Linked DNA regions of Mus musculus. The protein of the gene in region 1 interacts with the protein of each later gene in a pairwise test. Links are inferred from orthologs where the notes say so. Each region holds a gene or a part of one and is shown in the gene's direction. Other genes may lie near its edges.

Region 1 (3,802 bases):
TTATTTCTAAAAAAATGGTTTGCCAAAAGTGAGGAAGCAGCACTGCACTTTGCAGTGTGGCCAAATGGAGATGCTCAGAGGCAGTGCAGGGAGTCCCCGAGGGTGTCCAGAACCCCGAAGACGACGCTCCCAAACCTTAAAGGAGGCTCAGCTGCTCTGAGGAGCCCCGCTTGTGCTGACTGTCCCAGAGCAAAGGACTATAAGCCGTCATCTCAGCAGTGTAAAAAGTTAGCAGAGCCGTGCAGCGGACTTTGTGACAGTCATTTAAAAGTTGATTTGGGGGACTGGGGAACAGGCCAGTGAGCAAAGCACTTTGCTATCTCATGTGCTTTTGGGTTGGGAGCGATCTTTCTCCCTTCATAGTTCAGACTCTTGTACACACATGCTTTTTTTGCTTCTTTGTTTAGTTTATACCCCTTTTTATTTCTTGTTCAAAAACATTCATTTTGTACGTATGTGTTTGTGTGCACATGATATTTTGGTCAGTGGTCAACCTTGGGTGTCATTCCTCAGGCACGAGCTATCACCATGTCAGTTTTCAAAAGTTTTAATTTTTTTTTTTAAAAGAGGACAAACCAAACCAAACCAAACCAAAAAAAAAAAAAAAAAAAAAAAATCTTTTCAAAGGGAAATAACCAAAAGGAGCACCTGCCCCAAGGGGCGCATGGGACCCTTTAACTCATCTGCCTATCCTTTCTGTGCCATCCAGTGGTGTCAGCAAAGCCCAAGGTGCACAACCGCCAGCCCAGAATCAACTCCTACGTGGAGGTGGCAGTGGATGGACTCCCCAGCGAGACCAAGAAGACGGGGAAGCGCATCGGGAGCTCTGAACTGCTCTGGAATGAAATCATCGTTCTGTAAGGCTGTCACTGGTGGAATGCAGGAGGTGGGGAGGGGGGGCTGGGGTGCAGACTCTGCTGCCCTTGGCCCCCATGGTGCTCCTCTTTAGGTGTCTGTATGTCATTGAGCTCACAGACACTCATTATTAGCTAGGGGTTACAGGTCAGCGTGTGAGGTGTGTATGTGACTGTCTTCCTGTTTTGTCCCCTGTAAGATATCAGCAGGGTAGCTTTCAGCAGCCTGTTCATGTTAGAGGGGTAGCTGCTCCCCGGCGAGGCTGTGATGAGTCACTTACTTGTTTTCCAGGAATGTCACAGCCCAGAGTCATTTGGATCTGAAGGTCTGGAGCTGTCATACCTTGAGGAATGAACTACTGGGCACTGCCTCTGTCAACCTCTCCAATGTCCTGAAGAACAATGGCGGCAAAAGTATGTATGATTCACCTCTAGTCAGGGAGGGTATGCAACCAGTCCTGGGCTTGGCCACAGTGCCTCTGCCCCTTAGAGACCATCTGTGGAGTTTAAGGAAGGCTAACTTCAGCATGCTTGGTCCAGGGCTGTAGGATGCAGGACCGTGTCCCCTAGTTCTTCTTCAGGGAGGGAGGCTATCCTACCCACTCTCTCACTCAGGAGACATACCTCCAGCTGAAATCAGTGCTTTTCTTGTCTGAGCCCCAGAACAGAACAAAGGAGCTGTGTGCATGTGAGTGTGAGTTCTGGGTTTGGGATAGGAATACAGAAGGCGCCCTGTGTCTCCTAGGGATGTGACAGCAGCTCCATCTGAATTATCTCAGGCACCTCTGCTGGCCGGACATATAAATCCTGAGGCCTGTTCCTTGCTGTTTGTGGCCAGTGGCATAGCCCACGCCTGCGGGCTGTAGACCCTTCCTCATAAAGCCTCTATTCAGAGCAGTACCATATGTGGCAGCCAACTGCTGTGGAAAGAAAGGCTCCTTTTTCTCCTACTGTGTAGAAATATTTTTTGAAAATGGACTTAGCCTAAGTGAGACCCGGGGTGGGGAGTGTTGAAGCTTAGGTACAGCTTGAGGCTTTTCCTTCGGAGCCCATCCTTCTTGCTGGGCTGCCTGGGAAGGTTAGCTCCTCCTATGCTCTGGTCCTTTCCGCTGGACATAGAGCAGCATGGTGGAGGATTGTTTAGAACCAGGGACATGCCTCTGTCTTAGTTGTTTTGTCATTTGAGTTGGTGTTTTTGTTTTGTTTTGTTTTGTTTTGTTTTGTTTTGTTTTGTTTTGTTTTTGTTTTTCGAGACAGGGTTTCTCTGTGTAGTCCTGGCTGTCCTGGAACGCACTCTGTAGACCAGGTTGGCCTCGAACTCAGAAATCCACCCGTCTCTGCCTCCCAAGTGCTGGAATTAAAGGTGTGCGCCACCACGCCCGGCTCGAGTTGGTGTTTTTTTATGTATGTGTGAATGTATGTGTGTGCTCATGTGTATGAATACTTGTGGTCACCAGAGGTCAATCACAAGTGTCATTTCTCAGGTGCCATCATCTGTGTTTTTGTTTTGAGACCTAGAGCTCACCAAGGATGTTAGGCTGTGGGCCAGCAGGCCCCCGTGATCCTCCTGTTTCTGCCTCCCCTGCCTAGTCGTTGTAGCTATGTTCGTTTGATTCCCTTATTAACAGTCTGTTTAGGAATTTCCCGTAATATTCTTGTAACACTATGGTTGTGTTCTGGTTTTGTTTGTTTGTTTGTTTTAAAAGCTAAGTGGTTTTTTTTTGTTTTGTTTTGTTTTTTGTTTTTTGTTTTTCGAGACAGGGTTTCTCTGTGTAGCCCTGGCTGTCCTGGAACTCACTTTGTAGACCAGGCTGGCCTCGAACTCAGAAATCCGCCTGCCTCTGCCTCCCGAGTGCTGGGATTAAAGGCGTGCGCCACCACACCCGGCTAAGCTAAAGTATTTTAAAAATTATTTTTATTAATTGTTTTTTAAAACAAGGTTTTGCACTGAGACTCAACTTATTCTGTAACCCGGGCTGGTCTTAGGATTGCAGCAGTCCCTTCGCCCCAGTCCCCCGAGAGCTGGTGTTAGAGGCATGAGCTCCCAGTGTCTGGCTTTGAGGCTAATTTTCTAAAGTGAATGAAGCAGTTTCCAACCCTGGTAACAGATGGCAACATGGGAATTTTCTGTTCCAGAAGTGCAGGAAAGAGCCCAGCCATAAAACCAATAAGGCCTGGCTTCTTCATTTGAATAATTCTTTGATGACTTCTTTAGTCTGCATGTCCCCCTGCAATTATTGGTTTATTCAACTTTCCTGATTCATCTTAAGTCAGTTTTATTAATTCATTTTTTTTCTGAAAAAAATCAATTCATGAAATCTTACTACTTACTAGTATAAGGATTTTAAGCAGCAGTCTTATATTTTTTCAAATGTGTGCCACTGCGTTTCTCATCTCCAATCTTCCCCTCCCCTCCCTTTCCCTTCTTTAGTTTTTCTCGGTGCTGGATCAAACCCAGGGTCTCGTGCATGCTAGGCATTGACTTCAGCTCTTGTCACCATTGCTTGTTGGGGCATGAGCTGTAGCACATTGTGTGTGTGGCTGGGTAGGCAGTGAGCCCATCAGAAGAGACACAGTCAGGAAATGTGGGTCATGACAGGGCAGCGGCCTCCTCTTCTTGGGGAAACAAGTCCTCTTGAGTGACAGCAGCAGGGTATGTTTGCCCGACATTCTGGTCATGTTTCATAAGGTTTTCAACAAGGCTCTTCTGGTATACTTTATATAGAGAAGTGATTACTAGCGTGTAGATCTTGAAGCCAAAATTGAAGCTAACAATTTGAATTCCACTTCCACCAGCTCTGCGGCATTGGACATTAACCCCCACGTGCTTGTTCCTTACCTGGGTTAAATGCTTGCTAACAATGGCGCCCTCACAGGTCAGATCTCAGTAAGCAGTGGTTCTAGTGGCTGTCTTCACTGACACATTCTTCCTAGAGATGAGGAACTTT
Region 2 (4,427 bases), on another chromosome or scaffold:
CCAAGGAGACCTTATTTTATGCGTATGGGCGTTTTCCCTGCATGCATATGTGCGCTATGTGTGCACCAGATGCCTAGAGAGGTCAGAAGAAGGCGCTGTATCTGGGGGGGTGGGGGTGGGAAGAAGAAGATAGAAATGAAGGAATGGAAAAAGAAAAAACCCCTGATCAACCTGGTGTAGACCAGCATTCCTGTCAGAACAGGATGAAACCTGAAGGCTGCAGCTGACTTAATTGAGGTCATAGAAGACCTGGAGAAAGAGTCAATAGTATAGGGGACGAGGGACAAAGAGGGAAACGTGATGGAGACAGAAGCATAGCAGATAGCTAAAGAGGGTGGTTTTGTTTTTTTGGTTTTTTTTTTTCTTCAGTTTTTCGAGACACGGTTTCTCTGTGTAGCCTTGGCTGTCCTGGAACTCACTACATAGATCAGTCAGTCTGGCCTTGAACTCAGAGACCCACCTGAAGAGGATTTCTTCAAGGATGACAACTCCCATAAGAATTTATGTACTTGGGACAATGATGGGGAAGAGGGGGTGTGATGATGGGGGGGCTGGGCAAGGGGAGGCTGTGCACCTCTCTACTGACTCAAACATTCAGGAGAGCTCAGCTTTTCCTTCTGCCCACCCTTGGCTAAGACCGAGGCTAAAGCAGGGGCTCTGAGAACACTCCGTGGCAGCCCCTTCCATCCCAACCGCATTGGAAGAACTGTGTACTCTGGACTGGGGTTAAATGGGAAACAATCCATTCCAATAGTGGTTCTGGGGGCTCTGGGTGGAAGTCCCATGGCTGTGGACTCTACTTACACCGTCAGACAACAAGTGGCGCTAAGCCCGCCCCCGTTGGCTCTTACTATGTATGTATTTACTTGTTTGTTATATCCTGCAAGCCTTTGGTTGGGTTTGGTGTTGAGGACTGAAACAAGGGCCTCCAGAGAGCTTAGCTACTGAGCTCCACCACTAAGCTACATCCCGAACACCAGGAAGCCTAACTTGAAACTACCCTATCTCGCTTCTCCAGTTCCTAGAGAATCTGAAATCTGATGATGCTGACAATATTGACCTCTAACAGTATCCCTAACAGAAAAGTGTTACCATGCCATTTTCCTCTACAAGAGAATACGGTGAGAGATCAATCAACTCTGGGGTTTCAAACGGATGCTTTCCTCCACTCCGCCAGTGGGAGGCGCAAGGGGCTTGGGCGAGAGCCTGAAGCGGGGCACAGGCTGGGCAGCGACCCGACTGGCGAGGGTAAGTGCCCGATCTCACCTTCCCTCTCCTGGAGACTCAGGGTTTTTTGACTGGGTGGGGCCTCCCACCGACCCCGGGATGTCCACTCGTTTGGCCTGGGGAGGGCGTGGCCTAGGGCTCCGCCCCCTTCCGCGGGCTCAAAAGGCGCGGCGTCCGCGGAGGCGGGGTCAGAGCGCAGCGGCGGATCCCATCGCTGCTCCCGGAGGCTGCCAGGCAGCGGCCCAGGCGGGCACTCAGGTACCGGCGTCCGCGAGGGGGTTCCTGGCCTGCACCCTACGGGGTCCTATGGCCCGCTGAGGCGCTGGGGAGGGCGTGGGTGGTCGTGAAGAGTGCCAGATTCCCTCGGCTGGCTTCGGCCGCAGCCTCCGCCCCCGCCTTCCTGCGGCGAAGTGGGGCTGATTGGCGCCTGCGCCACTGTGTGCGGTGGGGACGCGGCCAAGCGCGGGGCTGGGGCGGGAGACGAAGGGAAACAGAGTCATGTTGGCAAGGGAGCATCGTGCGTGGGTGGCACCACTTTCTCTGGCTTCCAGAAAGGATCCCCTCTCTGGCCGTGCGTAAGGGACACGGCCCCCGTCGCTCTCTACAGGACCAGTACCCCGTTTTTCTTTTCCCCTTTCAGAGACCAGGGGTCCCGCCCTGACCACCAGCAGCCTCGACCTGTCCCAAAATGGCTAGGACCCGCTCCAGCGTCCTCCTTCTCCACCCCTCCCCCTCATATCCCGAGCCCCTAACGTGCTCCCTCCTCGGGCTCTCTACAGTGTCAGCTTACACGCCTTATATAGTCCGAGCAGGCTCCGGCGGCGGCCTGCCTGCCGGGACCCGGGGAAGGAGGGGGAGCTGGCCCCTGACTCACCCCGCCACCCTCCTGAGATTCCAGGTTAGCTTGGGCAAAGCAGTGCCAATTAGCCCCACAGCCAACCCCTGGAAGAGAAAAGCACCTGAGCTCGGAGAGGCCTCTCCAGGCCCTCCCGGTGGCAGGGGGCAGGGTGGGGAACCACCTTGTCTGTTGTCTGTGAGAGGTCGGCCTGCCAGGAGCCCAGCCAAGCCAGCTGAGATACCTGCCTCCCAGTGCCTGTGTGTGTTGAGCGTCCGCCCGTGCCTTCTTGGTGCCTGGCCAACGCTAGTGCCCAGATCTGGACCTGCCTGCCAATTTGCATTGCAGACACTTTCTCTTCTTCCTCACAGGAGCAGGCACGATGGATTCCTTCAAGGTGGTGCTGGAAGGGCCAGCCCCTTGGGGCTTCCGTCTGCAAGGGGGCAAGGACTTCAATGTGCCCCTCTCTATCTCTCGGGTGAGCCTAGGTGGGGGAACAAACTCCCCAAGGGTTCTTGGGTGCTCAGGTTTCCAGAGGATCATGGGAGGAAACAGCAGGAGCAAGCCAGGACCAATAAGGCAGGAGTATCCAGGTCCAAATGGACACTTAACTACCAGGACTCCCAACTAGGTGGAGAGTAGAGAGGCACTCCCAACTTCCCTACTTTGACATGGTATTTGATGCTCTCCCACCAAGCCATCTGTGAGTGACAAGGGGGAGCCTGTTCCTTCGGTATTGGAGGCTGATGTCTCCAAGAAGTATCTTACTTAGCTAGGAGAGCAGCCTGTGGAGCCAGGTCCCCAGCAGGATGTAACTTTAATTCCAGTTATTCAAGGAATAGCAGTTGTCATCCTGTTTCCCCAAGTGACAGAGCTTGGTGGGCTGGAGGAGCCCATTCAGTAAGTCCACTGCAGAGCAAGGGTTTGAACTGAGGCACAAAAACGGCTTGTACTCTCTGTACGGTCAAGGCCAACGGGGAACTCTTCCCGCCCTGTGTGAGGACTGAGTCCCAGTCAGCTGGCTCTAGTCAGGCTGTGTGGCCTTTGACCCCAAGCCTAGGTGTAGTGAGGCTGGCCTGTAGAATTCCTGTTCCCATTCCTCAGTCCACCCTGGTGAGGAGGGTGGAGCTGGGAACTGACTCCTCCCTGAGGCAGGGGGATTACCTTATAAGCCCAAGAATGCGGGCCCCAGTTGGGATGGCCAGCAGTGGCTAGTCAACAGAGCCCAAGAGGGCTGGCCTAAGTCTAGGCCCCTTACCTGGCCCTCAGTCATTGGTGTCAGTAGGACTCAAAGCAAACTTTGTGCCCAGCCTTCCAGCTTGGTATCTCTGACTGGCCTAGGGGGTCAAAAAGGGGGCAGGGACTTCCTTCCCTGATATCCGCCTGCCTAGAGAGGCCCACCCAGCCACTGTGTAGGCAGGCAGCTGCTGGCAGGAAGCCCAGGGCAAGCCCAGCCCAAAGGGGCCTGAGAATTTCCAGGCACTGCCCAGCCTGAGTAGGGTATCAAGGCTGGTTCTCTCTGTGGGAGCCAGACATGGTGGACAGGGCAGGCAGGCATGCATGCTGTGTTCTTCCCAGAATCCTTCTCTGGAATTGCTTTGGAATCTGCTCCAACCAGCAGGATGACTAAGGGCTATCTAGACCCTTCCCCCACGCGTACATCCTACGGGTTTCTTCCTCCCCTCTGGGAAAGTGCTGGCCAGTGTAGTGTAGGTCTTAAGTTTTCTTCATTGGTAAGGAAGGCCCTGCAGATGTTGCCTTTTGGGGGCACTCTGCTGGCCCCTGCTGGCCCCTGGCCTCCTTTGTCAGCAGCTTTAACCTGTGGGTGGGGCCACCCGCTGAGTCCTGCCCTGGAGTGAGTTAGGCCCTGATGGGTGGGGTGGTCTTTTCTAAATTGGGCCAGCCCGCTATCCCTCCCCTGACCCCAGAGTGGAGGGAGGAAGGAGGGGCTAGGGCTGGCTGTGGGCCCAGGCCTGGAAGATGAGGTAATGTCTGGGATTTGGGGGTTGGGCTGCTCAGTGGAGCTCCCAGGCTGACTCACCCACACCCATAACACTGTCCAGTCCCCTGGCTTTTCCCCTCCTTAATCTCACTAGCCTCTCTTTCCCTGTGGTGCTCTGACCACCAGCTTAGCCCTCACATTTTGAGTACCCCACGAGAGAAGTGGTCCCTCATGTCTCCACCCCTTTTCAGGGAGCCAGTGGCTCCTCCTCCCAGGACCCCCCACCTTGGTCTTGCCCCACACCTCTCAGGAAGCAGCCTGTATAGGAAGGAGTGGCTAACCCAGGTCTCCATGTGCTGACTCACCATGCCTGTGACTAGGTCATTTCCCTTTTACAGTGTCACTTCCCCGTCCCCATTATTA

The links.
Region 2: the proteins of Wwp2 (region 1) and Pdlim7 interact in binary tests that used the Homo sapiens proteins (3 or more experiments, as listed by UniProt). The link is inferred for Mus musculus from reciprocal best matches to the Homo sapiens genes WWP2 and PDLIM7.

Annotation. Positions count from the first base shown.
Region 1 is NC_000074.6:107,456,734-107,460,535, forward strand, and holds part of Wwp2 (NEDD4-like E3 ubiquitin-protein ligase WWP2), read left to right. Parts: intron 1-709; coding exon 710-857; intron 858-1,146; coding exon 1,147-1,268; intron 1,269-3,802. UniProt on the Homo sapiens protein: E3 ubiquitin-protein ligase which accepts ubiquitin from an E2 ubiquitin-conjugating enzyme in the form of a thioester and then directly transfers the ubiquitin to targeted substrates.
Region 2 is NC_000079.6:55,510,425-55,514,851, reverse strand, and holds the start of Pdlim7 (PDZ and LIM domain protein 7), read left to right. Parts: upstream 1-1,405; 5' UTR 1,406-1,485; intron 1,486-2,433; 5' UTR 2,434-2,444; coding exon 2,445-2,540; intron 2,541-4,427. UniProt on the Homo sapiens protein: May function as a scaffold on which the coordinated assembly of proteins can occur. May play a role as an adapter that, via its PDZ domain, localizes LIM-binding proteins to actin filaments of both skeletal muscle and nonmuscle tissues.